2 linked regions of the Alligator mississippiensis genome follow. The protein of the gene in region 1 interacts with the protein of each later gene in a pairwise test. Links are inferred from orthologs where the notes say so. Each region holds a gene or a part of one and is shown on either strand. Other genes may lie near its edges.

The links.
Region 2: the proteins of TNPO2 (region 1) and CAMK2D interact in binary tests that used the Homo sapiens proteins (3 or more experiments, as listed by UniProt). The two-hybrid records come from large-scale screens. The link is inferred for Alligator mississippiensis from reciprocal best matches to the Homo sapiens genes TNPO2 and CAMK2D.

What each region holds. Positions count from the first base shown.
Region 1 is NC_081831.1:22,828,156-22,843,272, reverse strand, and holds the start of TNPO2 (transportin-2), read right to left. Parts: upstream 5,985-15,117; 5' UTR 5,846-5,984; intron 4,498-5,845; 5' UTR 4,480-4,497; coding exon 4,381-4,479; intron 4,174-4,380; coding exon 4,098-4,173; intron 3,466-4,097; coding exon 3,316-3,465; intron 3,215-3,315; coding exon 3,108-3,214; intron 2,748-3,107; coding exon 2,614-2,747; intron 2,167-2,613; coding exon 2,085-2,166; intron 1,648-2,084; coding exon 1,525-1,647; intron 945-1,524; coding exon 826-944; intron 126-825; coding exon 65-125; intron 1-64. Other genes in the region: RING finger protein 11, read left to right, coding at 6,266-6,373, 6,961-7,130, 7,416-7,584; TRIR (telomerase RNA component interacting RNase), read right to left, coding at 10,373-10,480, 11,107-11,184, 11,403-11,477, 11,926-12,219; ATPase GET3, read left to right, coding at 12,797-12,999, 13,625-13,772, 14,032-14,180, 14,565-14,730, 14,944-15,051. UniProt on the Homo sapiens protein: Probably functions in nuclear protein import as nuclear transport receptor. Serves as receptor for nuclear localization signals (NLS) in cargo substrates.
Region 2 is NC_081825.1:124,905,481-124,920,366, reverse strand, and holds the start of CAMK2D (calcium/calmodulin-dependent protein kinase type II subunit delta), read right to left. Parts: upstream 6,550-14,886; 5' UTR 6,012-6,549; coding exon 5,947-6,011; intron 5,119-5,946; coding exon 5,024-5,118; intron 1-5,023. UniProt on the Homo sapiens protein: Calcium/calmodulin-dependent protein kinase involved in the regulation of Ca(2+) homeostatis and excitation-contraction coupling (ECC) in heart by targeting ion channels, transporters and accessory proteins involved in Ca(2+) influx into the myocyte, Ca(2+) release from the sarcoplasmic reticulum (SR), SR Ca(2+) uptake and Na(+) and K(+) channel transport.

The sequences.
Region 1 (15,117 bases):
GCGGGGGTGGGGGGGTGGGGGGGGGTGGCGGCGCGCAGCAGAGACCCCTGGCTGCCCCACACACCTTAAGCAGGATGATGTCAATCTCTGAATATTTCATGCCATTCACCAGGATGGGGATCAGCCTGCAAGAACAGGAGTCAGCGTGGAGGGAACCACTGTAGGAGGTGGGGGGATGGGAGAGGGAGGAACTGCCTGCCGACCCAAGCATGGGAGAGGGGGGTAGTTTCACATTGCTCAGAGAGAGAGAGAGGCAGGTCCAGCCTTCACACCCTTCCCCTCCTCCAGCAGCATGGGGGCTGCAGCTGGGAGAACACCCACTCTCAGAAGAACTCAAGCATCCAGGCTCCTACCCACCCACCCCCTGTAATGTGACCTACCAGACCCCACTCCCCACACAGAGCCAGGAGGGAACCCACCAAGCTCCCCTGCTCTGATTTCCCAGTCCAACTCCCCTCCCACAGTTGGGGACAGACCTCAGGAATCTTGACTCCCAACCCCACAACCCTTGCTCAATCCTGGCAAACCCCACCATCCTCCTGGAGCCAGGGAAGAGAACCCAGGTGTCTGGGCTCTGAGTCCCCTGCAATCTGATCCACCAGTTCCTACGCCCCTCCAAGAGCTGGGGAGGGACTTCAGAAGGTCCCAATTCCCAGACTCCACTCCCCTCCCCCTAAATCTATCCCAGTAAACCTCACTGCCATCCTGAAGCTGGGGAAGAGAATCCAGACATCTGGGCTACTGGTCAGATCCTCACCCACACCAAGCAGTGCCCAGTAAAGCCCCACCCCAGCCAGCAGGGAGGGGATGGAGGCAGGGACTCACTGTACTAAGTGAGAAGTCAGGGCCTCCTTGCAGATGGGCTGCTCAGCCAGTGTGAGCCAGAACTCACAGGCCTCCAGCGCCACATTCTCATCGCTGTCCTGAGTGCGCTGCAGCATGTACTGGAGAGATGGAACTGTGTCACTGGCGGTGACGCATAGGAGGTGCATGTGCACCCCCTGACCAGCCACGCTCACAGCTTAGGTGACAGGTAGGGGGGGCAGGTGGAAGTGCCGGCGCACCCCCTGCAAGTGCCAGCTGGGGAGTAAGAGCACCACGGCGCTCCCAGAAGCAGCCGTAGCCACTTCTGGAAGTAGCTGCAGCGATCAGCTCCAGTCAGTGTGATTGGCTGCAGGGGACCCCCCAGTCGCTGACTGGTTGCTGGGGGGCAGAGCACATTGCCTCCCCCCCTTCAGACTAAGATAGCACCAGTTGCCCATGCATGTCATCATCCAGCTGCAGGGCCCTAGAGCCTCCCCCCAGGGCTAGGCCCACATCCCTCCATGCCCCGAAGGAACTGCAGTGGTTGGCAGAGCTAGGTCAGAGCTTGGAGGCCTTGGAAAACTGAGGCAAGGAGCCAGTTGTCTGGGACCCCCACCCCCAGCAGGCCTGGCCCCAACCCCCTGCTTGAGGTGGGTCAGCCCCATGGCCTCAAGTACAGATCACACTCCTCCCCCACCACCTCCTCCAGCAAAGGCTCACCTGGATGATGCTGTGCATGTGTGGGATGAGACGGTCGATCCGCACCTCCAGCAGCATCACCAAGGCCCGGCACACGTTCTTCCGAACCTCAGGGTCTTCATCCACCGCCAGAGCAAACAAGTGCTAGGAAGGGGGAGGAGGCAGAGCTGAGACTACCTGGAGTCCACTGTTGTCAAGCCCTGCCCTCCCAGGGATGTCTGCTGGAAGGATTCACCCTGTACCAGGCTGCTGGGAGCAACTGCAGGCCACAGGGATGCCCTGGACACCCCATCCCACTCCAGCAAGATTGAGACCCCAACAGCCAGGGCCACAGAACAGGTATCAGCCCTCACCATCCCATGACCCCTGACAGCCCATAGACAACAGGAGACAACAGGTGCCTCTCGTCTGGGTAACAGTGCTGTTGTATCATCACAACCACAAGCGTGGAACAGGCTCCCCCCAGTCTGAAAACACATGGGGTAGGGAACACAGCACCAGGCAGGCCCTGAAGAGGTAGCGGGGGCAGGGGGAGAAGGCAAACTAGATCTGCCTGAGCTCTTCCCACCCCAGACTCTCACCTCAATGAAGGTGTCAATGTTATCCATCAGCGCCTGAGCCCGGTCCATGATGAACTGGTTCACGCAAGCGATGGCATGGGATCTGGGAGGTGGAGACCAAGGACTATGGCTCAGGCTCTTGTAGCTCCCCCCAACCTGCCCGGCCAGGTCAGGTCAGGGCTTGGGCATCTGCGCCCACCACACAGCCAGAACAAGGCCTCAGTTACCCCATAGGCTGTGCTGAGGTGAGAGGAGCCTTGGGGAAGACGTGGGGAAGGAGCTGACCCCATGGCACCAATCAAAGACCCTCCCCCACCTCACCTGGATGACACCTGAATGGGAAGGATCAGTTATAAATACATGTTAGTGGGTGGGTGGGGTGTTGCTGGACAACTTCCCTTCATTGCACCAAGGCTCTGATGCCAGCCCAGGGAACAGATAACATTGGGGGGTGGAAGGGAAAAAAAAAAAAAAAAAAAAAAAAATCAGCAGGATCCCAGCCCTCTCACCCCACACAAGCCAGCCAGGAGCCTGTGGGCAGCACTCCCACCTGATCTTAGGGCTGCAATGCTTGAAGAACTGCAGGAACTTGGGGATCATGACATTGAGGGGGCGATTGAGGGCGTCGCTGTCCAAGAGCTCCGACGAGTCCTCGCAGATCTTTTGCAAGGCCCCAAAGGCCCCCTGGGTGCCGCACAATGGGGTTAGAACTGGGATAATGGCCACAAAAATCAAGTGGGCCAAGCCCACTGGAGCACTCCACAGCCAGTCTGATAGCCAGATCTGAGACTCCACACTCCCCCAACCCCATCCCCTTCCAGCCCCAACCCACAGTGCCCCAGCCCTTAGCTGGCCAGTGCAGAGACACCTGCCCTGGTAACCCAGCCTTCTCCCTATCCTATCCCATACCCCAATACCACACCCCACAATTGGCAGATGCAGACACCTGCCCTGATGACCCAGCTCCCTCCACCTTCATTTCCAGCCCCCAGTGATCCAGCCTCAGATGTCCCCACAGCTGGGAACACAGACCCACCCCCCCACCTCGCAGGTGTTGTAGTCCTCAGAGTTAAGCAGGTTGCACAACTGAGGCAGCAGCTCTGGCCACATCTGCAGCTCCCCCTTGGAGGCGATGGTGGTGATGAGGATTCCTGCAGGTGGAGGCCAGCTGCAGGTCAGCCCCAGGCTGCCTCCGAGCCCGAGCCCACCCCCACCAAGCCCTGCCAAGGGCCCCCAATTCCCCAGTTCTCACCAATGGTGGCGCGAATGAGGGAGGAAGCATCACCAATGTTGTTGAGACACTCCTGCTTGATAAACTCAGCCACGGGCGGTGGAAAGCTCTGGTAATGAGCTTTGACATTGTTCTTCAGGATGAGCCCACTGAGGGAGCGCGTTGGCTCATCTGTGCCACCGGGGGGAAGAGAACCATGGGGCTTCTGTGACTGTGGCCTCCAGCCCCCACCCTCTGCCAGGCTGGGAACCCAGAGCCTATGGAAAGTAACAAGCCCTGGTGCCTTGAGGCTCCCTGCAGCACCATCATCCCCAAAGCATCACCAGTAACAGCCCCACCCCACCCCACCCCCAGACCTGTGGGGAAACCGTGTCCAAGCCCCAAACATCTCCCTCCCAGGGACCTCAAGGGGTAGCAGAACCTCATAGCAAGGTCAGGTCTGATTAGCTGCCAAGCAGGGTGTCCACACAATGATATTTCTCCCACACCCCATGTGTCCCTGCTCCAGGTGAGCTCCACGCATCTGTAAATCCTGCCAGCCCTCCCAGGTGCTGCCACGCTGAAATGTCCCAGCCAATGCATCCCTGCTTTGGGAGGAGCTCCACGCAGCTGTGCCAGGGTCTCGCTCTATCCTCCATGCCCCCAGCCCAGATACCAGTTAAGGACCAGCTGCCCCCTGGCATCCACCCCACCTGGAAGCCCAGGTTGGATGCTGGGGGCCATGACAAGCCCCGAACCAGTCTGAGACACTGCCCCTTCCCCAGCATTGTGTCCCTCCCCACATGGCCAAGCCTAATATGTACCTTCTGATTTCAGCCTAGTCAGGACGAAGATAAGATAGTTGTTGAAATCTGGGAACTGATTGAGCTGTTTCAGTTTCTGTGGTGCTGGGTTAAGATCCAAAGATCTAGGTCTGGAGAAGGCAGCTGGGGCTCTGCCTCCCTCTGGGCTTGGCCTGGACCACAACACCCACTTTTTCCCCTGCACAGGAATATCCCCTGCCTTAGCTACATAGCTTCCAGCTTACAAGCCCACAGCCCTCCCATGACCTCTGACCCTGGGCATCAAACCCTGGTTTAAGGATACATCCTGGACTATGCGCTGCGTGGCCGTGTTAGGTGACTGTGAGTCCTTGAGCAGCTGCAAGACCTGCTGCAGCCCCTGCTCATCTGGTTGCCAGTCCATGGCAGGGGGTAGCTGCAACTGTGTGGTAAGAAAAGGAGAAGAAAAGAGTGGTTACCACCAGCCAACCTGGCCCATTGCCTCCCCACACCTAGCAATGACCATGGCTGCAAGCCCCTCTAGCCACAGAGCACAGATGGGGCTTAGGGCAGCAGGAGGAAGACTCCACAGCTAGGGCCCCCAGCCTGGGAAAGACCCAGGGTGAGACCAGGCTGAAGCCAACCAGGCCCCACAGCTGGGGTGATATGTGCAGCTGCCCCAAGGAGCCTCATGAACAGGGAAAGCTTTGAACCAAGACAGTAAGAGAAACCAGGGCCAGAGATGGCAGCTGGGGTACAGGATACAGGGAGGAAGAAAAAGGAAACCTATCTGGAGGATAAGCAGGGACTGCATGGGGAGTTTCCCCAGCTCTCCCTTGGCCCCAGCTGCAGGGAAAGAAGGGGGGGTGGCATCCCCCCACACAACAGCCACATGGGAACCTGGACATCCCACTTCCTCCTTGCCACCCCCAACCCCACCCATACCCACCTCAACCCCAGATCCCAACCCACAGCCTCTCTAATCCCCAGGGTAACAAAGCTACCCCTCTCAGTCCCCTACACTCCCAGCTGGCCTGACCTTCTCCCCCAGCTCTCCAAACCCAGGACCAGGCCTCCTCTCATTCCCACTCCACAAATAATCAGACCCTCAAGCCCTTGCTCCACAAACCCAGTCTCCAAGCCACTTCACTCCCCTCTGGACTTCCAAAGCCACCCCCAACCCCAGGTCCCCTAACCCACATGACCCAAGCTGGCTGCACAGCAACCCCTTCACTGCCCCTGAATCAAGCTTTCTCTGCACCAGGGGAACTCCCCCATCCTGGGATCCAGCCCCCCCAGCTCTAGGATAGAGCCCCCTCAGCCCCCCGCATCCTAGGGGAATCCCCCCACTCCCAGGCACCAGATGCAAAGGGATCCATCCCCCACCCTGGAATAGAGCACCCCCAGGGGAACCACCCCAGCTTCCACCCTGCCCAGACCCCTGCTTCCAGCCTCTAGGGGATTCCCCCAGCTCTGGAACAGAGCAGCCCAGAACCTAGGGAGACACCACAGTGCCCAGCTCCAGCAACCCCCAGCCTCTAGGGAACCCCACCCAGCCCTAAGATAGAGCCTCAGCCCCTAGGAAATCCCTGACTCCCAGCCTCTGCCCTCCTCCTAGCTACAACCCCTAGGAACCCCCCCAGCTCCCAAACCTGGCTTCAAGTCCCAGCTCCAGCTCCCCCGCACCTAAGGGACCCCCCCCCCACCCCAGACCCCCATTGCCCCCAGGCCCACGCGGAGCATCCCCAGGGGCGATCCCAGCAGGCCCCCGCGGCCCAGCCGCTCCGTACCTGGCTAGGGGGTGCGAGGGGGGAGGGGGGATTGGTGGTGGCGGCGGCCCGGGCTCGAGGCGGCGGCGGCGCGAGGCAAACGCGACACGCGGGCGCTGACCCCAGCCGGCCGCCGTCCGCCGAGACCACGTGAACAGCAGGGACCGGAGCAGGGGCGGGGCGGGAAGCGCGCGCACGCGCGCGGCGGGAGGAGGCTGTCACGTGGTCAGGGAAAGGGCGGGGCCAGAGCGAACGTCCGCACACATGCGCGGAATCAACGCCTTCCGAAGCTCCGGGACTGTGTTTCCCAGGCTGCTCCGCGGCGCGTGGGCGGTACCATTTCTCGACAGGCACGGGGGGAGGAGGAAAACGGCGTCTCCACCACATTCCCCTCCCCCCCGCGGAGGGCCGGGGGTGGCAGCGTCCAACCCGGCCCCGGGCATGGGGAACTGCCTGTCATCGCAGACGGCCGACGACCTCTCGCTGCTCAACGACTCGGCCGACGGCGCAAGCCTGGGGCCCGGGGCCGCGCCGCCGCCTCCCTACCAGGTGCAGCGGGGAGAGGGGGCGCCCGCAGCGGAACAGCCCGGGGGCGGGGGCGAACGGGAGGAGCAGCCTCGGGCCCATTAGAGGGGGCGTGGCCGACGAAGTGGGCGTGTCTTATAAGGGCGTGGCTGTAGGGATGGCTGAGTTTGGGAGGGGGAAGGTGGGGGGGAGGGGCCATTAGCGATGGGGGCATGGCTTAAAGGGGGGCGGGGCATAAAGGTTTGACTTCGGTGGCTGGGGTCTGAGGAGCTGGCCTAGGTGGGTGGGGCATAGGGTGTAGTTTGTAGGTGGAGTCATGGGCGTGGCCAATGTGGCTGGGTGACAAGGGCATGGTTCCTGAGGGAGGGGGCATAGCCTATGGACAGTCATGGGGTGTGGGACTTGGACAGGGTCATGGAGGCATGGCCTGTAGGAATAGGGGCATAGCCTACAAGGGCAGAGTGGTGCTAACCTGTATGGTGTAGGGGGCATCCCTATCAGGTGGGGGCAGCTGTGGGGGGGCTTCTGGGCCCCCTCTTGCATAAGTTGCAGGGTAGTATCTGGGGATAGGGCTTCATCTATAATATGCATCTTGGTCCCTCCCCATCCAGGAGCAGGCATCAGTGCCCACATACCACTCTGTGCCTGGGCAGTCGTGCCTGGCAACGCAGCTGACCGAGGAGGAGCAGGTCCGCATAGCCCAGCGCATCGGCCTCATCCAGCACCTGCCCACAGGTGTCTTTGACCTGGGCACTGAGCCCACTGACCGGAAAACCAAGGAGTAAGTGTCCTCCAGCTCTGCCCATTCTCCCCACTAGCCCAGCCCTCATCTGGGGGTGGGGAGAGGAGCCCCAAACCCTGCCCTTGTTCTCTTCCTTTGGGCCTTGCTAAGCCCTGTAGCAGGGCAGAAGCCAAGCTGGGGATACAACCCAGGTACCATGTGGGGAGGCAGGGCTGGGGATAAAACCTGGTGGGGGGTGGGAGGCGTCTGCTTTTATTTGCTAGTCTCAGGATGCCTGGGTTTTGTCCCTAGCCTGTGGGTCACACCTTGCCTCCCCCACCACAGGTGTGTGATCTGCATGTTGGACTTCGCCTATGGGGACCCAGTGCGGTTCCTACCCTGTCTACACACCTATCATGTGGGCTGCATTGATGACTGGCTCATGCGCTCGCTTACCTGCCCATCCTGCATGGAGCCCGTGGATGCTGCACTGCTCTCCTCCTATGAGACTTAGCTGGAGGAGGGGAGGAGAGAAACAGAACATTGCTGGCACATATGTGGGGTGATTTTTGCACCTAGAAGACACCAAAGATGCCTGCAATTGCCCTAATTCAACCCCTGCTTTTGGCTCAGGTGCTTCGAAAAGCTAGATGAGGCAGTTCTCTTCCCAGGTGCCTCTGGGAGGAGCAGCCCCAAGCCAAACCTGGGGGAGCTCATGGGGGTGCAGGGAGGGGGGGAGGAGCATATTCCTGCCCCTAGTCTAGTGGAGGGGTGCTGAGCTCCAGGAGCTGGAGTCGAAGATGGGGCTTGCAGCCTGTGGTGGACACTGTTTTCTTCCCTGGGGCTGGTACCTGCCCTGCCTAGATCTGGGAGCAGGCCCTGGTGCACCTGGGAAGCCAACCCTGGCCGTTATCCCCTCCCCAGCCTTGTAGTGCCTCAGCCTTCAGGGCTGGGGGTCCTGGCTCCAGTCCCTCTCCTCTGTCCGGACAGGCAGCCCCTTCTCTGCAGCCATGGGGTCTCTCAGAGGTCATGAGCATTAGCCCCACCCCATGGCGCTACCACTCCACACTGTTCCAGGGGCATCTTTGCCTTAGATATGGAGTCCCATCTCCTCCTCCTTCCCCTACAGCTGCCCCATGAGTTGTCAAGTAATTGGCCTTACCCAGACTGGGATGCTTGGAAGGGGGGGTGACTGCTGGCCTGGCTCTCACCGTGGGGCCACCTGCCCCAATCCCAGCTGGTCCTTGCCAGGGAGTTCAAAGGGAGATGGATGCATGTTATATTTGAGCTGCACAATAAAGATTATTGTCTAGAGCTGCCTGATGGGTTGGGGGGGGGGGGGTCAGGCACTATCCTGGCTTCTGTGCCCCAGAGCATGTACCTTTGTGGGGCAGGACAAAGCCCTCTCTGCATCCCCCCCGCCCCCCCCAAATACCCACCTGCTTCCTTCTTTCAGTGCTTGGGACTCCTGGGCTCAGACATCAGGCTGCCTTCAGAACCACAGCTGGAAACAGCAGCAGCTCCATGCTCCTCTAGCAGCCTCCTTTTCACAACATAGGCCACCCCCCATACAGCTGGCATCTCTTATGTTCCAAGAGAAGATACCAAATGGGAAACAAGGTTGGGGGGCTCAGGGCCTCTAACCCTCCCCACAGCATTCATGGCATCTCCCATGCAGGGACACAAGCCGGCAGCCTGGGACTATAGCCAGCACCTTGCAGCCAGGGAGGGAGCTCTGAGAACAGGGCAATCCAGGACCAGAGCAAGGCAATGACTGGGCACAGAGGGTAAAGTCTAGGGGCTCCTGGCATCTCAATCCTAGATGCTTCCAATCCATGGGGGTCCCTAAGACACTCTCCTGGCTATGGGGCCACCTCCCTGGCTGGCACCCTCTCACCCTAGGTCTTCCCTAGGCAGACCTCATGGCCAGGTCCCCACTCCCTCTGCATCCAGATAGATGGTCTCCTTGCTGCTGCAGCCTGCCCCCAACAATCCCAACCCCATCCTCATCTCAGCAGGGAGTGATCTGCAGCCACTTGGTCCCAGCTCAGCTAGCTTTGCTATAAGTAGTGTCAGGGGGAGTCAGTTCCTCTGTGGAAAGCCACTCACCTCAGGTACAGCAGAGCTCAGACTTAGAACTGCCCGCACCACATGCCAGGGAAGGAGGCACCAAGCCGGGGTCTGTACAACGGGGTTTTATTTTAAAAAGCCGGTGCAGTAAGAACACATGGGTGGCTTGGTGCAGAGGAGAGTACAAGGATATGGGGGCTGCTGAGGTGTACTAGGGCTCCCTTAGGGACAAGGGGCCAGAAAAATTCAGGAGAAAAAAAGAGGAGCTCCAGGGGCCAAGGGTACAGTGGGGGAGGGTGTGTGGGGGGGGAAGCTGTTCTAAGGCTTGAGCACCAAGCAGTAGCTCCCAGCTGCCCCCCCTGCCTTGACTAAATAGGCTGGGATCCCCATACCCCCTTTTTCCTTCCCCCACTACAGGGGGGTGGGGGGGTGAGGAGTGTCTTCACTAGAGAGCAACATCACTGGTGCAGTGTAAGTGGGGCTCCCCCACAAGCATCCAGGGTGAGGGCTTGGAACAGCCAAGGAGCCAGGCCTGCCTGAGTTTCTGGGGGCTGGCCATCCTCTTCCTCCAGGGGGGTGTGAGATGGCAGCAGAAGCAGTTCTCATGTAATAGGTCCCATCCGCACCACTGAGGCTTTCTGTGGCTGGAGCTGTCACTGCCAGGGTCTGTCGGGCTGGCAGGACTGGGCTCCCCCCAAGCAGGGCAGGTGCTGGGTGATTCCAAGGGGTGGAGACCGATGCCTCCAGATGAAGAGGAGACAGATGAGGCAGTTGCAGGAGCCTGGGAGCACCTACCCCTTGACTCCTGGGTGCAGGCAGGGAATGTACAGCACCAGGCACCTCCACAAAGAAGTCAGTAGCTTAGGAAGATCCAAGGTCTTTAATGACTGGGAATGAATGCAGCACCTGCCCCTGCTCCAGCACGGAGGGAACAAGAGGGCAGGGGGAAGCTGGGTCCCAGCAGGATGGGCAGGCTATGCCATGGGCCACTGATGCGATTGTCCGGGGAGCCGCACTGGCAGGGGGGGAGGGGGGAGCGCCGGAGTCCTGGCTCCTGGGAGAGTCATAGAAAACAGGGATCCCCATCATCAGGCAGCTGCAGCTGGGCAGGGAGGCACCGGCGAGGGGCAGCACACGCCTTTCCACCTTAAATAAGTATGTACAACACACAAAAGTCCTGGCGACCAGGGCTGGGGCTAGATCTAGACCAGGCCAGGCCCCACAGCAAGCAGCTACTTCACCAGGGGGCGGGTTTTGTCATCGTCACTACACTGATGAGCCTTGTACTTCTTCACTTCAGCCATGTACTTGGCCCAGGCATCCCCTTTACTCGTCAGGACCTGCAGAAGGAGAAGGGCAGCTCAGATGCCAAGCCCAGAGCCACATTTCACCACAGAAAAAGGGTGGGTGGGTGGGTAGGGGGGAAAAAAGAGGGACTGGGCCCTGGCAGCAGCAGGAAGACCACCCCTCCCCAAGATCCCACCACCACCAGTCCTGCTCCCTTCCCAGAGCTAGGAAGCGGAGGGAAGGACCCCTTCCCCACCAAGCTGGGGATGGAAGCCAGGAGCCCCAGCACCCAATCCATCCATCTCCTGGATTTACTACACACCAGGAAAGCCCCTGGTCCAATGCCTCTCCCCACCCCCCTCAACCATACCCAAATGGGAACCCAGCTTTTAGCAACCTTGGGGCTGCTCCAGGTGTCCCCCACTGCCCTGGAGCCAGCATGGGCATCAAAGCAGGGGCTGAGGGACCCCAGTTCAACCTCAGTGCATTGAGCCAGGGTCTCTGCTCAAGCTTAGCTACCTCACCCCCACCTTAGGCCCTTCCCAGACAATCACACAGGAGAACAGGGTCACACTTACATAGGCATATTGAGGCACCAGAAGCAGGAGTAAGACTTCCCAAAGTAGCCACAGAAACACTGCCCCTGCCATCCCAGCCACCCCCCCCAACCCCCTTTTACCTCCTCCTCCATCTTTTGTTTCTTTGCTACCACTCCCGTCTTCAGGGCCAGCTTGTTGCCCCCTCGCCGCCGGCCAACCTGGGAAAGGATAGAAAGCAGCCAATGTTACGAGTGCCCCTGCTGCTGGCACTACCTGTGCCATGGTATAGAGAAGGCTGGGAGGGTGGGAGTGGAAAGTCAGCCCAGGCCTGAACCAGTGCTGTTCCTAGAGAGATCTCTAGCTTCCCAGCTCAAGCAGATCCCCTCAGGCACTGCTTCTCTCCCCTGGAAGTGCCTCCCCTGGCCGTAGCACTCACCCCCAGGGTGAGGCAGCTGCTGGGCTTTACGACCACAAAGTGGTGGCAGGAGCTGGGCACTTGCTCTGTGGAAAGCTGCCAGACAAAGAGCTATGGGACGCGCGCCTGCCCGTGGCCTGCCCCCCCTCCAACTGCTGGGGCACCAGATGAAGGCAGGCAGGGCTGGTCGAGGCAGCCTGTCAGCAGGAACAGGGAGGGGGAACAGAAGAGCAGAGCAGAACAGTGGCAGGCAGAGACACTGCAAACAGAGCGAGGGAGGTAGGAGGAGAGGCAGGAATAGATGCTGGGAAGAGACAGATGAGAAGGAGGCCGGGGCAAATAAGCAAAAGAAAGATGGGCAAGAAGAAAGGGAAGTCAAAGATGGGGGGAAGGGGCACAGACCAGAAGGCAGCAAGAGAAGGGGAGTCAGAAGCAGGTAGGGAAGGAGCCAGGAGTTCTGGGGACGGGACGGCCCAGGCAGGTGGGGGAAGGGCGGGGCCGCCGCAGTGTCGGGGGCAGGTGGGGGAGGAGAGCGGGGTCTTACGAAGCCGAGCGCGCCGCCGCTCTTTTTCCTCCCGTCCGCCGCCGCCGGGGGCTGTTGCTGCTGGTGCTGTTGTTGCTGTTGCGGCGGCTGCTCAGCGCCGCTCCCGGCCCCGGCCTCAGCCCCGGGCCCCGCGGTGTCGGGCGCGGCCCGTCCGCGTTGCTCGGCCTCCATGCGGCGCTTGAAGAGCTCGAGGAAGCTGCCATCGTTTGCAAAAACATTAACACCACCGCCGCCGCCGCCCTCCCCGCCGGGGCCCCGCGGCACCGCCTCCCCCCGCTCCCCTTGGGCGGCCATTTTGTCACCGGAGCGCCCCGCGCCGCGGGCGGTGACGGGAAAAGCCAGTGCCGGCCGCGAGGCACGCCGGGAAAGCAGGCCAAGCCGCAGGCGCGCGAGGCACGCTGGGAAAGCCGCCGGCGCTTCTTGTTGCTAGGCATCGGGCACCGCAAGGGGCGCCGGGAGGGAAAGAACCAGGAGATGGGTGGGCGCCGGCACCAATTGGAACGCGACTGGCAGCGTGCCGGCCAATCCGCTGCCAGCCAGCTCGCCTCGGCCGCCTCCTCGCTCCCAACAGAATAAGGCGGGGCAGACCGACAGTTCTGAAGATCGCCCAATCTTGCCAGCCGAGGGGTGGGGTTTGATGGGGCCAATTCGCGTAGGCGGGTTTGTGAGGGAGCCAATCTAGTGAGGAGCGGGGCGGGACGGAGTGTACCACCCCTCTCCAGGCCGCGGGGGCAGCATTGAGCCGCTGCCGCGGTATCATAACAGCGGGAAATTCAATGCCGGGCTGTGGCGGGGGTAAAACTGCGGCGCTCCCTCGGCTGCGAGGAACCATGTGGTTTGTTTTTTTTCTCCTATTTCCCCCCCTTGTCGAATGGTCCCAGCGTGGGTCACGTGCAGCCGTTCCAAGATGGCGGCGGCGGGGTCCGGGTCCGGCTGGGGGCCGGAGGCGGACGAGTTCGAGGACGCTCCCGATGTGGAGCCGCTGGAGCCGACGTTGAGCAACATCATCGAGCAGCGGAGTCTCAAGTGGATCTTCGTGGGGGGGAAGGGGGGCGTGGGCAAGACCACCTGCAGGTGAGGCGAAGGGAGGGGCTTTTAATGTGGGATGTACTACTGTGGGTAGAAGGGGGGAGTAGGGGCTCTACCATTGCCGCGTGGGGTGGTTGAGTCCTTCTGGTGTGCAGAGAGGGGTTGGGAGGAACCATTACAACGGGATGAGGGGGTAGGTACCATCGCTGTAGAGGGGGTGTGGCAGCAGGGGCCTGGCTGGGATATGCCATGAGAGCCTATAGGGGGCGTCGTGGGGGAGGGGTAGGTTGTAGGTAAGGGGGGTTTGGGATGTACCACTGCACCGGGCAACTGGTCTACCTGAGGGCATGGGGTGTACCATTGTGCTAGGAATGGGGGGGTATGATTGTGTGGGGTGCCAGGAAGGGAGTGGTCTTAGTGAGGGCATGGGGTGTACCACTGTATCATTGTGCCAGGTAGGGGGTCTACTTGGGCTGTACCACAGTGGGCAACTAGAGAAATAGACCCCTTGCAGGGGAACTGGGATCTACCATTGCATTTCTGTGTGGGGGGGCATGAGCCCTATGCTGAGCAGTAGAGTCCCCAGGGACCCTCCAAGAAAGCTCCCCATAGGTTCCTGTAGCTGCTGCTTGCTCTGCTGACCCCCGGGTCCCCTCTCTTCCCCCACCAGTTGCAGTCTGGCTGTGCAGCTGTCCAAAGTGCGGGAGAGCGTCCTCATCATCTCCACTGACCCAGCCCACAACATCTCCGATGCCTTTGACCAGAAGTTCTCCAAGGTGCCCACCAAGGTCAAGGGCTACGATAACCTCTTTGCCATGGTAAGTGCAGGGTTGGGCTCCATTCGGCACTCCAGGAGGCTGCAGCAAGGGACCCAGGTGTCCCGCTCCAACCACTGCTTCCATGTCATGCATAGGACTGACCGCATCTGCCTCAGCTCACCCCCTTCCACAGCCAAATGCTACTCTGACCACTACCCCCTTTCCCATCTTGGAGCAGGGACCAGGGGCTGTCCTGGCCCTGCTCTGACACCTGGGTCAGCCTCTGAGTCCCCTCCTCTTATCTGTCCCCTCCTTGCAGGAGATTGACCCCAGCCTGGGGGTGGCAGAGCTCCCAGACGAGTTCTTCGAGGAGGACAACATGCTGAGCATGGGCAAGAAAATGATGCAGGAGGCCATGAGCGCCTTCCCGGGTATCGATGAGGCCATGAGCTATGCAGAGGTGATGAGGTGAGCCAGGGTCACCAGCCCCAGGGGCTGATGGAAGGGACTTTTATACGGGAGGTCCCATGACTGTAGTGGGGGTGAGCAAGGTAGGCTTTTGACTGGAGATGTGGAATGAGGTTGTACCACTTAGGTAGAGAGGGGGTAGTATGGAGGTACCATTATGAAGGAGAGTGGTATTATAGGCTATAGCAAAAAGGGTCTCTGGGTTGTACCACTGTTGCCACTTGTTGGTGGGATGCTGGTTTGGACCATTAGGAAAAGAACACTGGGGGAGGGTTATACTATTTCAACAGTAAGGGGCTGCTCTGGGATGTACCATTTCTGCCTGGGGGGCATTGCTGGGTGGGGTCCCCCCACCCCTCTAACCCCTTGTCTGCCCCGGCGCAGGCTGGTGAAGGGGATGAATTTCTCCGTAGTGGTGTTCGACACGGCGCCCACGGGGCACACACTGCGGCTACTCAACTTCCCCACCATTGTGGAGCGGGGACTGGGCCGCCTCATGCAGATCAAGAACCAGATTAGCCCTTTCATCTCCCAGGTCAGGAGGACCAAGGTTGGGGTCACTCATACCCCGCCTCCCACAGCACCTTTGCTCTGCTCTCAGATTTGAGATCCGCCCCTTGCCCGCCCGCCCCCATGCATGCAGCAATTAGCGATTGAACCCTTCTCAGCCATCCTAAGGAGCCTTGGCCTCTGGGGCTGGGCTGGGCTGGGCCATGGGTGCCCCCATTTTATACCACACCCCCTCTTCCTTTTCCTCCCATAGATGTGTAACATGCTGGGACTGGGTGACATGAATGCGGACCAGCTGGCCTCTAAGCTGGAGGAGACTCTGCCTGTCATCCGGTCTGTGAGTGAGCAGTTCAAGGACCCAGTAAGTGGCTCCTGGGTTGGGCACATCCACCTGTGAGGCCCACAGGGCTTTGGTTCCTTCTGGTAG
Region 2 (14,886 bases), on another chromosome or scaffold:
GGGTACAGGTATGACTATGAATAAAAACAGCATCTGCAGTTATACTAAAATGGCAGAAGTCCACAGTCTATTAATTTTCATGCTTCAGGGAGTAAAATGATCAGGGGCTGGGGTCAAGAAGAAATTTTGCCATGTAGAATATAGTGCTGGATTCCTAGGCATATTTCTACAAGGTTTTGGATTCATATGAAACACCCAGCTTTGGCAGAGACAAGATGCCTGACTAAACAGACCAGTGGTCTGGTAACATGACAAAACTTTTCCCTTTCTACCATGAAATACTGTGCTGAAAAATTCTCTTTATATGCTTCACATTACCAGTTGTCTCCCTACAGTATTGTAAATCACTTCAGGGATCACAAAAAATTTTACACAGACAGATTTAGACATTGTATCATTCTGTCCACATGGCAAAAGTCTGCACACTCTCCCATCAAATCGTTTTTCCAAGAAGGTAAGGGTGTCCTTTAAGCTTGAATACTCTTTTGGAGCTAGTCACAGGAATGCACAATTTGTCTCATTACCTCAGGCCCTGTATGGCACCACTTAGTATAAAGCAACCAGTATTTCCCTTCCAAAAAAGAGAGAGAAGATACCGAAAGGATTTGGGAGAAGACCTGCTGAGAAAGATAATAAGCAAGTAGTCAAAGTCTCTATGGTTTATTAAATATAATGGAAAGACTCTCATGGGCTTTGGTGTTCTTTGGTTTAGGGCTAATGGACAGAGAACCAGAAATCCCCAAGTGATACCTGCACCTTTCTTAATATAACTGTTTCGCACAGACAGCAGATGTCTATTCATGTTTCTGCTGCAACAATAAAAATGGTGGAGTGGTGTGAGGGGCTGCTAACTGACGGTCAAAATGAAAAAAGACCACCAGGAACTGGACTCTACCACCAACCTCTTTTCACAGAGGCAGCCAATAACTAGTATTTTTGGCAATTGCCGCCCTAATGCAAATTTACATTTAGTGAAAAGCTGAATGCTACAAAAAATCTGTGAGCAAACTGATTTTTTTTTCAGTGCAATTACAGAGATTGTCAGAAATCTTAACAAAATGTCTCATATTATTTACTTATTGTCCATGAACCACAGACACTGTAGTTGAAGACTAAGGACCCAATCCCTCAACACAATCTACAAAAGCAGGAAGATCTGTCTGAATAAAGTTAATTGTAGGAACAAGGCCAAAAAACCAAAAAGATTTGTAAATAAAAAGTATTTAAGAAAATGAGGTGTCTAATTTTCTTAAATTTTTTTTTATTGGTTTGGCCTAGTCAAGGAACACATTTCGAAGAAGCACAATTTATTCATCCTGCTATATAGCCACAAAGAGAACAGCTCTAAACAAACACTCAGATCACACTTTAATAAAAATAACTGGACATATAAGAACCCTCTGTATAAGATGAAGCAACATAAAAGACAAATGCAGCAAAAATATGCTCTTCTTTTCTTTTTTTTTTCCCCATAATGCTTGCTCACTATCCCACTTCCCTTTGAAGGCAAGTCATACATGCTTTTGTCCATCTGTGGTATATTCATGTAGGCAAGCTTAGTTAGAATGCACTCTTCTGGTAATGAAAGCCTACTATTCTTTTTCCAACAACCCAAATTAAATTTACTCTTCCCTGAAAAGACTACAATTTCCAAATGAAGCTTGTAATATGAATTCTGAAACATAAATATTAAGTAACATATAGCTAACAAATGTTATTGCTAAAGTGAATTGTAATGATTACTATTATTTGTTATTCATATTATGCTTGTATTAGTATTTCAAATTAACAAAATAGCAGAAAATCCCAGAACTCATAAAAGACAGCATGTCTTTCTTTTTTTTTTAATAATACAGCAAACCATGTAAATTCACATCTCTTTTTCATAGTATTACCTTATTTCAACAATAGTAGTTTTTTCTATTGAAGTTTAGATAGCAGTGTGATAAATAGGCATATTTCAGGTATAAGAAATAATTTGTCATCAATCTGAAAATCAAACTGTTCTGAGAAGCAGGGATGACGGTTAACATATATTGTTATAAATTGTTATAACATGTTACATTATTATACAAAAATGGCCATGAATAAAAAGTGGTAGAAACAGAAAGTGTTGGGGAAAATGGGTAAACAAGCCACCAAAAAGACATGCACCACTGTATGTACAGGAGTCTTTTAAAAAACTTTTGTGTAAAAAAAGTTCTATTTTTTATGAAAACTAGAGAGAGAACACATTTACCAACAACTTGCTGTAACCAGATTAGTACCTTGCACTGGGCGAATGTGACTGCTCGGATAAGTTCAAAGAAAATACATGTGGGGGGCAAGCGCTGTTATGACTGAACAATACTAATAGAAACCCACGACAGAATGAAAGCGTCTTAAATTACTGTTAATAAATAACTCTTTTTAACAAAGAAGGTACATTTCCCCATATTATTTGCTGAAATCCCTTTAAAAAATGGTTCAGAAGAAGGCCTGCTACATACAATGTGAATTTAGCTAAACTACATCAATGAGAGCCAGTCACTAGAGGGTATATTTCCCTCACAGCAGAGGGTCTTGTGTGTACTCTCTACAGACAGACGAAGCTCATTTTATGAAGTGTCCTTTAGATTTACAAAGACAAGAGCAGACTACATGACTTCAAGCACCAGATAAATCTATTAATTATAGTAAGAACAGATGAAAAGAAATTGCTCCATCTCACAATGAAAAATATTATAAAAAATAACAGATAAATAATGTTACAATTTTAAGTAGTATCTAAACTGTAATCTATAAATTATTATCATATCGGTCATGATAAAATATATTGCAGTTTGATGCTCTTCAGTGTATAGCTTCTGTGTCATAGGAGACAACTTTGTAGATAGACACACCATAACAATGTTTTTAAATATACTAGAAATTACAAATGCTTAAAGTCCTTATTAAACTCTGCCTTAAAGTAATACCCTTATTGATTACCCTGGAATTATCTACCTGACAAAACAGACTGAGTGCATGTAACCTTACAGATATGTGCAAATGGACATATCTGTGTATATCGGCATGTGCGTGTGTGTACACACCAAAATATAAGGGAATTATTATATACACAGCTAATGTCACGATATGAAGCACAGAATTGAAAAAGAATTGGCAAGCAAAACATCCTGGTGGCAATTTTCGGTACAAAGCTCTGCAGGCAGTGCTAGAAAGACAGTACTCCCCATGATACTCATTTACACCCATTGATAACACATCACGTATGCACAAGTGTCCCTACAGAAAATGAGGTGCTCACAATCATTATCCAGCTCTAGAGTTTAATTCCACCAAAAACAAGGGAATTAGGTTCTGAATTCCTAGAAAAAGCAAGAGTCCAAAATCTGTGTGCAATTTTGTTGCGTTACATATATGGGCTAAACTCATCATGGTATAATTCCACTCAATCTAAAAGTTACACCAGGAATAAACATGGTCTCATACACAAAACTGTACAGAAAGTATAAAATAGAAGCATTTACTTCAGACTGCCTTGACTGGAGTTTAAGGCAGTCTTGGCAACCTTAATACAGTTTCTTCAATATATTTTTAAAGAAACTATAAATGCGATATATGTAAGCCTTAATTCATTAACAAACTGATCCTGACCTTATTAGCTCTCAATCAAGAGTCATAAAAAACTTAAAATATTTTGTAACTATCAGTATTTTGCTTATTGTACTTTTAAATTTCCAAATAAACAACTTATGGGGGGGTGGAATCAAAATCAAAATCTGTTTTAAGAAAAACAGTGAAAAACACATCTCAAATCATGTTATTAATATTCTTAACCATTTAAAGCAAACCATAACAATGACCGGGGATTGGCTCAAAATATGGTTTTAAAAAGCTAAGGAAAAAAATAATTCTCTCACATAATAACCTGTACACCTTTCTCTCACATTATGAACTTGAGGTTAAATATTCAGTATAAAGGGAAAAGTAAACTTTTACAGTCCTCTACTGAACTAAAAACTAGATTATAGAATGGAAAACTTGAAAGACCCTCTCCAGTTAGAACAGCAATAAAAGTTAACAAGTATGTCATTGTAAGTAAAACTTTGTATATTTTTTAAGTTAATGAATGTTATCAGGTTGCTGTCCATCTGCAGCATTTCCTTCATATAAAGAGTAAACCTGGCCATATTACACACTGACAATGTTAGTTCATTCATCTCCGTGTTCATCATAAAGGCATAAATTCACATGAAAGTGCAGATAATGTTGACAGAGAATAATCCTTAATCCCCAACATCCTACTACAAGCACTTTAGTGTGGATTTATCAAGGCACAAACATATCACCAGAAGGCCTACTTTCAGCAGTCTTAACACATGGTAAGCCCATAGTTTCTCCAATATACTATGAACACCTATATACTGACTGCACATACAGCTATAAAATGCATACCCATGCATACATAAGAAAAAATATAAATAAGCGGGTTAAGCATTTGGATTATAGCAGTGATAAAGCACTTCATAAAATTATGACTAATCCACTTCTTCTGTAATACACAATACTGCATGTGTAGTTGATCACATTTTTCTCTGAAGGCGTTCACTGTTAAATATGCCTCGATGAATTAAGTTCATGTTTAAATACAGCGAAAAATGAGATTCAATTAAGCTCTGACCTATTTTTTTTTCTACAAGAGCTACGGCAAGAACTTATTTTATCAAAAACTAAAAAGAGGAGGAAAGCCAGACCGATATTCAAACTTGTCTGTATGCAAAACTGAAAGCAGAAGGGTTTGTTTTTTTTAATTGCCTCAGAATCCATCCATCTTTCCTGCTAGCATGCTAGAGAAGCACTCTCATAAATACAGTCGGTCAGCAGAAGAGAAAAATCTAAGCGGCATGTTAGAGAAATGGAAGACTAAAAAATTAAGACAGAAGGGGAAGGGGTTCACATAATGCTATTTTAAGCAAAAAAACCCAAGGACTGGGGAGAGGGGGGAGACACTGAAAATGCTGGGTTGAAATATACCCACCCCTAGCAGAGAGCTTTTTGGTGTTGATAATTTTGGCAGCATACTCTTGTCCTGTGGTAATTTTCATGCATCTTCTCACCACTGAGAAAGCTCCCCTGCAAATGAATAACCAGACAAGAATCAGTCATCCTGGATAAAGACTCAAATAATTTCAATGCTTTCCCTGCCTGGAATGAAATGCTTGGAAAGAGACAGGAAAATGACCAGGACAAAAAAAATGGCAATCACCACAAATTTGATAGACTGCAACTGGAAAAAATGCTCTTTCAAGCGGGGGAGCCCAAGTCCCATCATTGTCAGTACGCAGTTCAAGTCCTGTTTCAGCGGAGGGGGCTCACACACATAACCATGTATCTTTCCCCTCCTCTTCCCTGACAGGCAGCAACATAGTAATCAGTGGGAAACCACAACCACCAAAAAAGCTCTCTGAACATGGCGATTAGGTCGAAATGGGTATCGGGAGCCGAGCCCACTGGCGTGGCTAGCAAGAAGGTCTTGATGCCCCCCGCCGTGACACTGCCCAGGAGCCTTAGCATCATTGCATTGCCATCTGCCCGCCCAGGCTCCATGTTTCAAGGCCAAATGGGATCCGGGCAAGGGCATGCCTCCATATCATTGGGGGCTCCCCAATGCGAGGCAGGCACTGGGAGCCCAGGGCCCTGTGCATGCTGGGAGGGCTCGTGCCACTCACCTCTCTGGACCTGACAGAGCAGAGGGACAAATAACCCCTTCTCAGCCCGGGGCTGAACTTTCCTTCTCGTGGGGTGCCCCCCAGGCTGCCGTCTGGATGGAGATGGAGCTGACCCCCAGCCAGGTGCCGTGCAGAGACACCTGCATGCCCCCCATTTGACCTGTCAACGCCCTAATTCACTTCCCTCCTGCCCCACGCGCCCCCTTTCCCCCCCAGCCCCAGCTGCTCTTACTTCCCGAGCTCCTCGAAGAGCTGGTACTCGTCGGTGAACCTGGTGCAGGTAGTGGTCGAAGCCATCGCGAGCCCGGGCTGCCGCCGGGGCCTCCGCAGCAGACAGGGAGCGGGAGCGGGAGCAGCAGCGGCGGCAGCAGCAGCAGCGGCGGAAGGAGGCGGGAGGATGAGCGCGGCGACACTGGAGGCTCTGCCTCTCCTCCTCCCTCAGTCCCTCCCGCCGCCTTCCCCCCGCGCTGCCCGCTCCTCTCGTCCTGCCCCCCGGGCTCAGCCCCGCGCGGGGCGGCGGCGACGGGCAGAGCGAGCCCGGCGGGGAGAGGGGAGGCGGCGGGGCGGGGGCGCCGGGTCACAGCCCGTGTAGCTCTGCCCGAGCGAGAGGAAGGGGAGGGTGACGGCGGCAGCAGCACCTCCCACCGCTCTCTCTGTCCCACGACTCCCTCTAGTGACGCCGCCTCGCAGGCGGGGAAGCGGCGGGGCGCGCTCCCCTCATGGGAGCACCTTAGGGCGCGGGGGGAGGTGCTCAGGGCTGTGTCCTGGGGTCCCCGCTGCTTTTGAGGCACGGGATTCAACCGGTGGGAGTCAGGGCAAGGCAACAGGCGCAGGCTAGTGCCTCAGACCGAGCCCCCTCGACAGAGCCTGCTGCCTGCTTCGCGCCCCTTTGGGCAAGGGCTGCATTAGGGCGGGGGGGGGTCTCCTGCTGCAGCGCCCCACCCCCTCCCCCCGCCCCGGTGGCTCCGCCCGCCCTCCGCAGCGTTCCATTCTGTGGCGTCATAATAAACCCACTGTCTGCACGCAGCCTCCGGCCGGCGAAGCAAAGAGGAGAGAAGCCGCCTGCGTCTTGTCTCGCGAGATCTCCTCTCGGCTTGGGTGGGAAGGTGGGGAAGGGGGCGCGTTGCCCAGTGGGAGGCCTAACCACGTCCCGCGTGGGGAGCTGCGATGAGTTGGTGGGCGGATGTCATTTGTGTTGGAGTATTTAGCACAACGTGGGGATGGGAGCCCGGGTGGATTTGCGTGTGGATTTCTATGCAGCGCCTGCCCAGGTGCCTTGAGGCTTTGGCTAAGATCAAGGGAGACCGTGAGCATCAAGGTATCCAGGCCTGGGGCTGGCAGGTCGGATGCCTGCCTGGATTTGGGATGTATCCAAAGCCTCAGAAAGAGGGGTCTGGGAGTGAGGATGCCACACACACTTGGCAACAGAGCTCTACTTAGCCGAAGTTTGGAACTTAGCTATTGGGCTTTGCCCAATCGAATTTGGAACTGGTTTGGCCTTGGAAAAGATAAATATCTCTCTATATATCTATATATATCCCTATATATGTACTGAGTGATCAATCGATTGATAGCTACATATATATAGATAGATATAGACAGTTATATAGATCGATAGATACATATATAGAGATATATCTAGTTATAGATATTTATCTTTTCTAAGGTGATAGCTAAATAGATGTCACCTTGGAAAAGATAAATATCTATATCTGTCTATCTATCTATCTCTTGTGCCTCTGGAAGCAAAGTGCCTTTTCTCATGCCTTGTCTCTTATCCAAAACCTGGGCAAGAGCTTGTGGTTTCCCTAGGTTCACGTGTATGTTTCTCATGCTGGGTATTATTGCTGGGGCTCATAGCACTGCACCTGTTCATAAGATCAGAACATGCAGGGACTTGCAACATTGCCATGCTTCAACCCTTGGGCTGACGTTTTCCATGTGAGGTGTTAGCCTGGGGCTGAGTGTTTAATTAGAATGTTTCACCCAAAATAATTGAGCTTTTTCTGAGAAGGAGGCTGGAGAGAGAGGCATTTTTTTTCCATGTTTGAAAGAAATCTGCTAGGCTTTTTTAAACAGGTCTGGTGCCTCCATACCTTTGAAACAGGGACTAGACATTTGGCAAGGAGCAGCCCAATGCAGCAGGGTGGCATTTTGCTGTCCCTGTGAGAATCAGCCCTTTGAAAAGCTGAGGTTCCCAGATGCTCAGTGAAGCTTCACTTTCAGCAACAGCCCTCTCCAAAGATTCTGGGCTTACTGAGCATCACACTTCCTCACAGCTCCTCTGTGTAACAGGACTGTATGAGTGTGTATATGTGTATCATCTACAAAAGGACATTGTTAAGGTTGCAAAGATTAGAAAATGCCAGCATTCAGGTAATTTATTTTTATGTATGTGTGCAGTGCCTAGGGTCATTAACTCTTGGTTTATATTTAGGATCAATACAAATTAATACAGTATCAGTCTAGTTACTGCTGGTTATTAATAGAGAAACAGCTAGTGAGTTAAATATGGCAGTGAAATACAATGGCCGGCGATACACAGGAGGTCATAGGGTATGATCTAATGGTCCTCAGATGACTCTTTACATTTAGGGTTCTTCATCCAGTTCTTCACTTGGAAGAACTGGATGCTCACTTGGAAGAACTGGATGCCTTTAAGTCGGCAGGCCCGGATGAGCTCCATCCGAGGATGCTGAAGGCACTGGCCAACATAATTGCAGAGCCACTGGCGGGAATATTTGAACACTCATGGCGCACGGGCCAAGTCCCGGAGAACTGGAAAAGGGCCAACGTGGTCCCCATTTTCAAAAAGGGGAGGAAGGAGGACCCTGGCAACTATAGGCCAGTCAGTCTCACCTCCATCCTTGGCAAAGTCTTTGAAAAAATTATCAAGGCTCACATTAACGAGAGCCCAGCAGGACAAATTATGCTGAGGGAAAACCAGCACAGGTTCGTGTCAGGCAGATCGTGCCTGACCAATCTAGTCTCTTTTTATGACCAGGTTATGAAACGCCTGGACACAGGAGGAGGGGTGGATGTCGTCCTTCGATACGGTATCCCACCCCATACTGGTGAACAAGTTAAGAGGCTGTGACTTGTATGACTACACAGTCCGGTGGGTGGCGAATTGGCTGGAGGGTCGCACCCAGAGAGTCGTGGTAGATGGGTCGGTTTCGACCTGGAAGGGTGTGAGCAGTGGGGTCCCGCAGGGCTCGGTCCTTGGACCGATACTCTTTAATGTCTTCATCAGTGACTTGGACGAGGGAGTGAAATGTACTCTGTCCAAGTTTGCAGATGACACAAAGCTATGGGGAGATGTGGACACGCCGGAGGGCAGGGAACAGCTGCAGGCAGACCTGGATAGGTTGGACAAGTGGGCAGAAAACAACAGGATGCAGTTCAACAAGGAGAAATGCGAAGTGCTGCACCAAGGGAGGAAAAATGTCCAGCACACCTACAGCCTAGGGAATGACCTGCTGGGTGGCACAGAGGTGGAAAGGGATCTTGGAGTCCTAGTGGACTCCAAGATGAACATGAGTCGTCAGTGTGACGAAGCCATCAAAAAAGCCAATGGCACTTTATCGTGCATCAGCAGATGCATGACAAATAGGTCCAAGGAGGTGATACTTCCCCTCTATAGGGCGCTGGTCAGACCGCAGTTGGAGTACTGCGTGCAATTCTGGGTGCCACACTTCAAGAAGGATGCAGATAACCTGGAGAGGGTCCAGAGAAGGGCAACTCATATGGTCAAGGGCCTGCAGACCAAGCCCTACGAGGAGAGACTAGAGAAACTGGACCTTTTCAGCCTCCGCAAGAGAAGGTTGAGAGGCGACCTTGTGGCTGCCTATAAGTTCATCATGAGGGCACAGAAGAGAATTGGTGAGGTTTTATTCACCAATGCGCCCCCGGGGGTTACAAGAAATAATGGCCACAAGCTAGCAGATAGCAGATTTAGACTAGACATTAGGAAGAACTTCTTCACAGTTCGAGTGGCCAAGGTCTGGAACGGGCTCCCAAGGGAGGTGGTGCTCTCCCCTACCCTGGGGGTCTTCAAGAGGAGGTTAGATGAGTATCTAGCTGGGGTCATCTAGACCCAGCACTCTTTCCTGCTTATGCAGGGGGTCGGACTCGATGATCTATTGAGGTCCCTTCCGACTCTAACATCTATGAATCTATGAATCATACCCAGATGATGACCTCAGTTTTGCTAATCTCTCAGCTAGGGCAATTCTTTTCTACTGTAGGACATGTCTATGCTGCACATGAGGTAACTTAGTCCATGCAGAGATCCATTCTGCAGTATGTAGACAACTTAGAGCAAGCTCCAATACTTCTACATGGCACTGCTTCCTTACTGGGACTAATGTAAGATTTTTTTTTTGCTTGAAGGCAGGCTTCCCTTTCTTTTTCAAGCTATGTAACATCTTAATTAACAAGGCGACATGCCCCACAACAGAGACAACCATGTCTCATTGCTTCATTTGGGATTCTTGCACATAAAATGTTCCATTTGGAGCCTGGCTGGATTCAGGGGCTTGGAAAAGTAACAAAGGTCTGTGTACACTCTGCACAATGGGGCCCAGTCTTGGTTGATTCCTAGGCGTACATGTAACAACTATCTTTGATAATACCGAGATGATGTTATGTTCTCTTCTTCGATATAATCTCATTCAGTGCTTAAGATAAATGGTGCTTAGGAAATGTATTATGGTTGTACAATAAATGAGGACTGTAACAGGCTTGCCTCATCAGGTCTTCGCCACCTGCCCTGCTCCTGGGGTAACCACTCGCTTCACTTGTCTGCCACACCTTAATGGAAAAATATGAAAGCTGTTACTAAGGCGGGAGGCTACCCATTTCTCACCCTGCTGACAAGGGCCTAATACCTGCTCCGACCTTCCCTCCACAGATCCCATGCCTCGCAGGTGTTACTTCTTCGGCCTATGGCCATAGCAAACTGGACACACAGTTGTAGCTCTTTTCTACAGCCCCGGAGGCCCACTCACATACATACCACTCCTCTCTCACCAGGGTCCCACTCACTCCACTGGCTCTCACCCAGCTTCTTTCATACTGCCCTCTCTCAGGGGCCACACTCATGCTGCCCGGCCTCACCCAGCTTCAGGCATAGCTCTCCTCACCTCGGTCAGCCCCAGCACAGTCTATTGGGTATCTCCTGCTACCCTCACTCCAGTATTGACTGAGCCATTGTATGACTGTAGGCCTATTTCACTCCTAGCCCCTCACCAGACCACTATACTCCCACTGGGCCTCCTCACTCACCCACACTCATGGGCCGCTCTACTCATCGCCCCTCTCACACGGGGCCTGACTCATGCCCCCAGGCTTTCCTCTGCCACCTGGCTGTAGCCTCTGGTCCCTCCTCTAGCCCAAGCTCTGCCTCATGGCTCCTCGACCAAGCCCTGTACTCTCCCTGCTTGCTAGCACCACCAGAGATGGGGGGCTGGGGTTATAAGGTGCCCTGACCTGCCATTCATCAGGGAGGTAACTGGCCTGGCATTTCGTGGGGGCTCCCACACCACTAGGAGCCCCACCAGACCACCCTTCCCCAGCAGGGTGCAGTTTTACATCTTACCCAGGACAAGGGGTTACCTCCTCCCCATACCTCCTGCCTTTACCTCCTGACTGGCTGGAGCAGCCTCTCAGCCTGATGTTTCCTCCTTCCTTCCTGCAGCAATCTGCAGCCCAGTTTATATCCCCAGGCTGAAATGGCTGCCCTCATCAGGCACCTGGCTGCTGCCTGTTTGCTGCTTTCAAAGTGTCAGGCACCAAAGGTCATTGTGCAACTCCTGCTCCATTTAGTGTAGAAAATAGGTGCTCCAGGATTAAGGCAAAGAACGCTCTGGTGGGTAAGGCAGTCAACTGAGATTAAGAACCAGATTGTGTCTCTGACTGTGCTACAGATTTGTAAACTGTTGGGCCTGTCACTTCAATAAAAATGATTACAAATGGTCTCTCTCCATGTTCTGAATGTCCAACGTCAGAAGTCCTGAGCAGGATCTGCCTAAGGGCTCACAACTCAAACATAAGTCAATGGAAGCAGTGGATGCTTTAGGAAGTTTTTGAAAACAAGTCTTGAGTGTGTAGAATTGGGCATCCAATCACTGAGTTACCCTAAAGACGTAGACAGCTTTGCACATTTTCTAAAGCAGTTTGAAAATCTTTTCCAACCATGGATTTTTATCGCAGTACCTGGATTAGCTTTTGTGACTCCTTTGTTCCTGTGGGTTTATTGCTTGCTTGTTTGCCTCTCCCAGCATTGCCCCCATCTCCTCTCCCTCTCTTTCCTCCTTCCCCCACACCCCCTTTCTGCCTCTTGTACATCATTTTTTGGACCAGACTTAACACTTTCCTAACACAAGGTCCCACAGAGTAGGTGTGAATATGAATACAAAATATTTGAGAGACTCAGATACTGTGTTAATGAGCCTCATGGAAAATGCCACAAAATGTAATGGTGCCACATAATTGGGGTGAATTGTGTAGTACATATCACATAGGAAACATGTTCAGTGATTAAGACAAAAAAAGATTTTGAAGGGCTGCCACTTTCCCTGACCAGTGTCTGTTTTGTGCACTAAATATAGCAGAAAATCTGAGAAAAAAATAGTGGGCGGCCAAGTAGGTAAAGAACAGCTTGTAGACACAAAGTAGGTTTTTCCAGGCAAACTAAATTTTGGCTTACTGATTGATTGAAAAATTCATAACTAATTCTGGAAAACATTTTGAAGTTTTGAATTGGATTAATTTTTGGAATAGACCATTTTCTTTATCTTTATTAAATGTTATTTTCAATGCAATTTTCAATGTTTTTGAAACAGTCACTGAGGATATTTGTTTACCCAAACTGGGCTTTTGCAAAGTACATAATTTCTGTATCCATTTCAGCTTTTGAATTCTGACAACCTTAACAATTTTCTTTAAACTATCATTTTAAATGTAGCATATAGATAGATATGTTTATCCATTCATGTATATTTCTAATCCTGATTCTGTTCCTTTTATTGCTTATGGTACATCATTTCATCTTTCTGTCTAGTTTTTTTTCTGTTAGTGACATTCATGTCCATAATTATTATCTGCAGAGTACTTTAAGCATGTAAAAGTACTCTTTGAATTCTAATTATAACTTCACTGTGAACTGTAATATGCAAACTTTGTCCAAAGTGTGAAGCTAAGTGCTAAAAATTAAACCTAAAGCCACAATTTGGAAAGGAAATTTAGGTTTCATATTCACCCGAAATTGCTACTAACTTCAGTACCCAAGTTACAAAATTAGGGTCTAAAACTTTGTTCGTCTCTGTTATGCAGCTCATCCTGGGAGAGAGAGAAAAGATGGCAACTTTAGTTTAGTAATGCTGTATAACCTACTGTAAAGGGATGTTTACAACTAGAAATGTACGTTTGCCAGATTAATTGAATGCAAAATACAAAACAAGGATGTTTCCCTTGGGGGAAAAAAATTACCAGGTGTAGAAGATTTAAACTAGATATTCATCACTAGCAGTGTGTGTTCAGCAATGTATAATACAGAGGATGCCTCAACTTATACACACAGCAGCAATCACCACAGACAGGAAAGAAACCACAGGCAGATAAGGGAGGAGAAAGTGCAGAAAAGAAAGCAAACGTGACGTAGCAGCATACCTTCTGTTTCCTCCAATTACAAACAAGCACACGTACATTTTGCATAAATTTGAGTAAATACACATTAATGAGACTGTAACATGTCCAGCTCTGGTCTGGTGAAATCACCCCTAGTGGCTGCCTGGGTACTGCCTTGCTCCCCTCCTCTGGCCTCCCAGGGTCTCACCTGGTGTCTTTCGTGCCATGCCTTGGTGTGATAATTGGATAGAGAGGTTTTGCTTCGGGTCTTACGCCCTCTTCTGGGCTGAGGCCCCCTGGTCTTGCCCCACTTTTTACTGCCTGGACCCTGGTCTCAACCCTCAGGCTCTAAAATCCTTGGCCCCAGTCTTGCCTCTCATAGCTCTGGGCCCCCTACCCCACCTTTCTCATCATTTTCCTGTGCTTGTTTCAGTTTCTGTAGAGCTTCAGCCAGATTTATCTGAGCCCTCTCTAGCCCCACTGCTACCTGCATGATGTAGCATTGCGAGGCCACTGCTTTTGCCTCTGTCTGTTCATGGCTGTGGCACCCAGGTTCCACTTGGGACTCCAAATTTCTGTTCTCTCTGCTTTGGCCTTTCTATACCAGCTAGTTAGCTTTTCCAGCTCATTCATCACTCCTTTTACTCCCTGTTTACTCCCAGTATCTAACTGTTCTAGTAGCAGTGCAAGGCTTTCTCTTTTCAGTCTGTGAGCAACTCCATCTCCAGTGCCCAGTCCCCAATTTTAAGACAGCCACCCTTTTTCTCTCTGAGGGGGAATACCTGGCTTTGAGGTTGGGCTGCTTGCAATTCTGCAGGTCATGTTTTCCTTATTGCCCAAGTTTTTATCCCCTGCTCGAGCTGGAACTCACTGTGGTCTCCTGTAGATGGACTTGCCTCTAACTCTAGAACTCCTTTCACTGTCCTTGGTGTTCTCTGCTGCTTTGGGATTTCCACAATTCCCTTTCTGATGACTTCCTCTCTGCTTCTCTCTGCTGTGGCTGGGACTGTCACTGCCCCCTTCCCTTTTGGTGACCTCTTCTGTCATGGCTGCACTCTGTGGCATCTATGTTCCCCTTTGTTGACTTCAGGGGTGCTACTTTGGTAGCTGGACCAACTATGCAAGCAACTTCTACCAAAGGGTCTTGCACTTTCTGTGGCCTGGCCCCCAGGGTGTGGTTCTGCTGTGAGGCTCTTCTTCCCATGTCCATTCTCTGGGCTTTGTCCTCTACCCCCATAGTTCCTATCCTGCTTTTGGGCCTGCTCATTAGCAGTAGCCTACTGCTGCAGCAACAACTGTATCAGCTGTTCCATCTCCATCTGTATCCTAATAAGAATGGCAGCTCACGCTTGGCCCAAGGCTCCTTCATAATTTCATAGATTCATAGATGTTAGGATCAGAAGGGACCTCAATAGATCATCGAGTCCGACCCCCTGCATAAGCAGGAAAGAATGCTGGGTCTAGATGACCCCAGCTAGATGCTCATCTAACCTCCTCTTGAAGACCTCCAGGGTAGGGGAGAGCACCACCTCCCTTGGGAGCC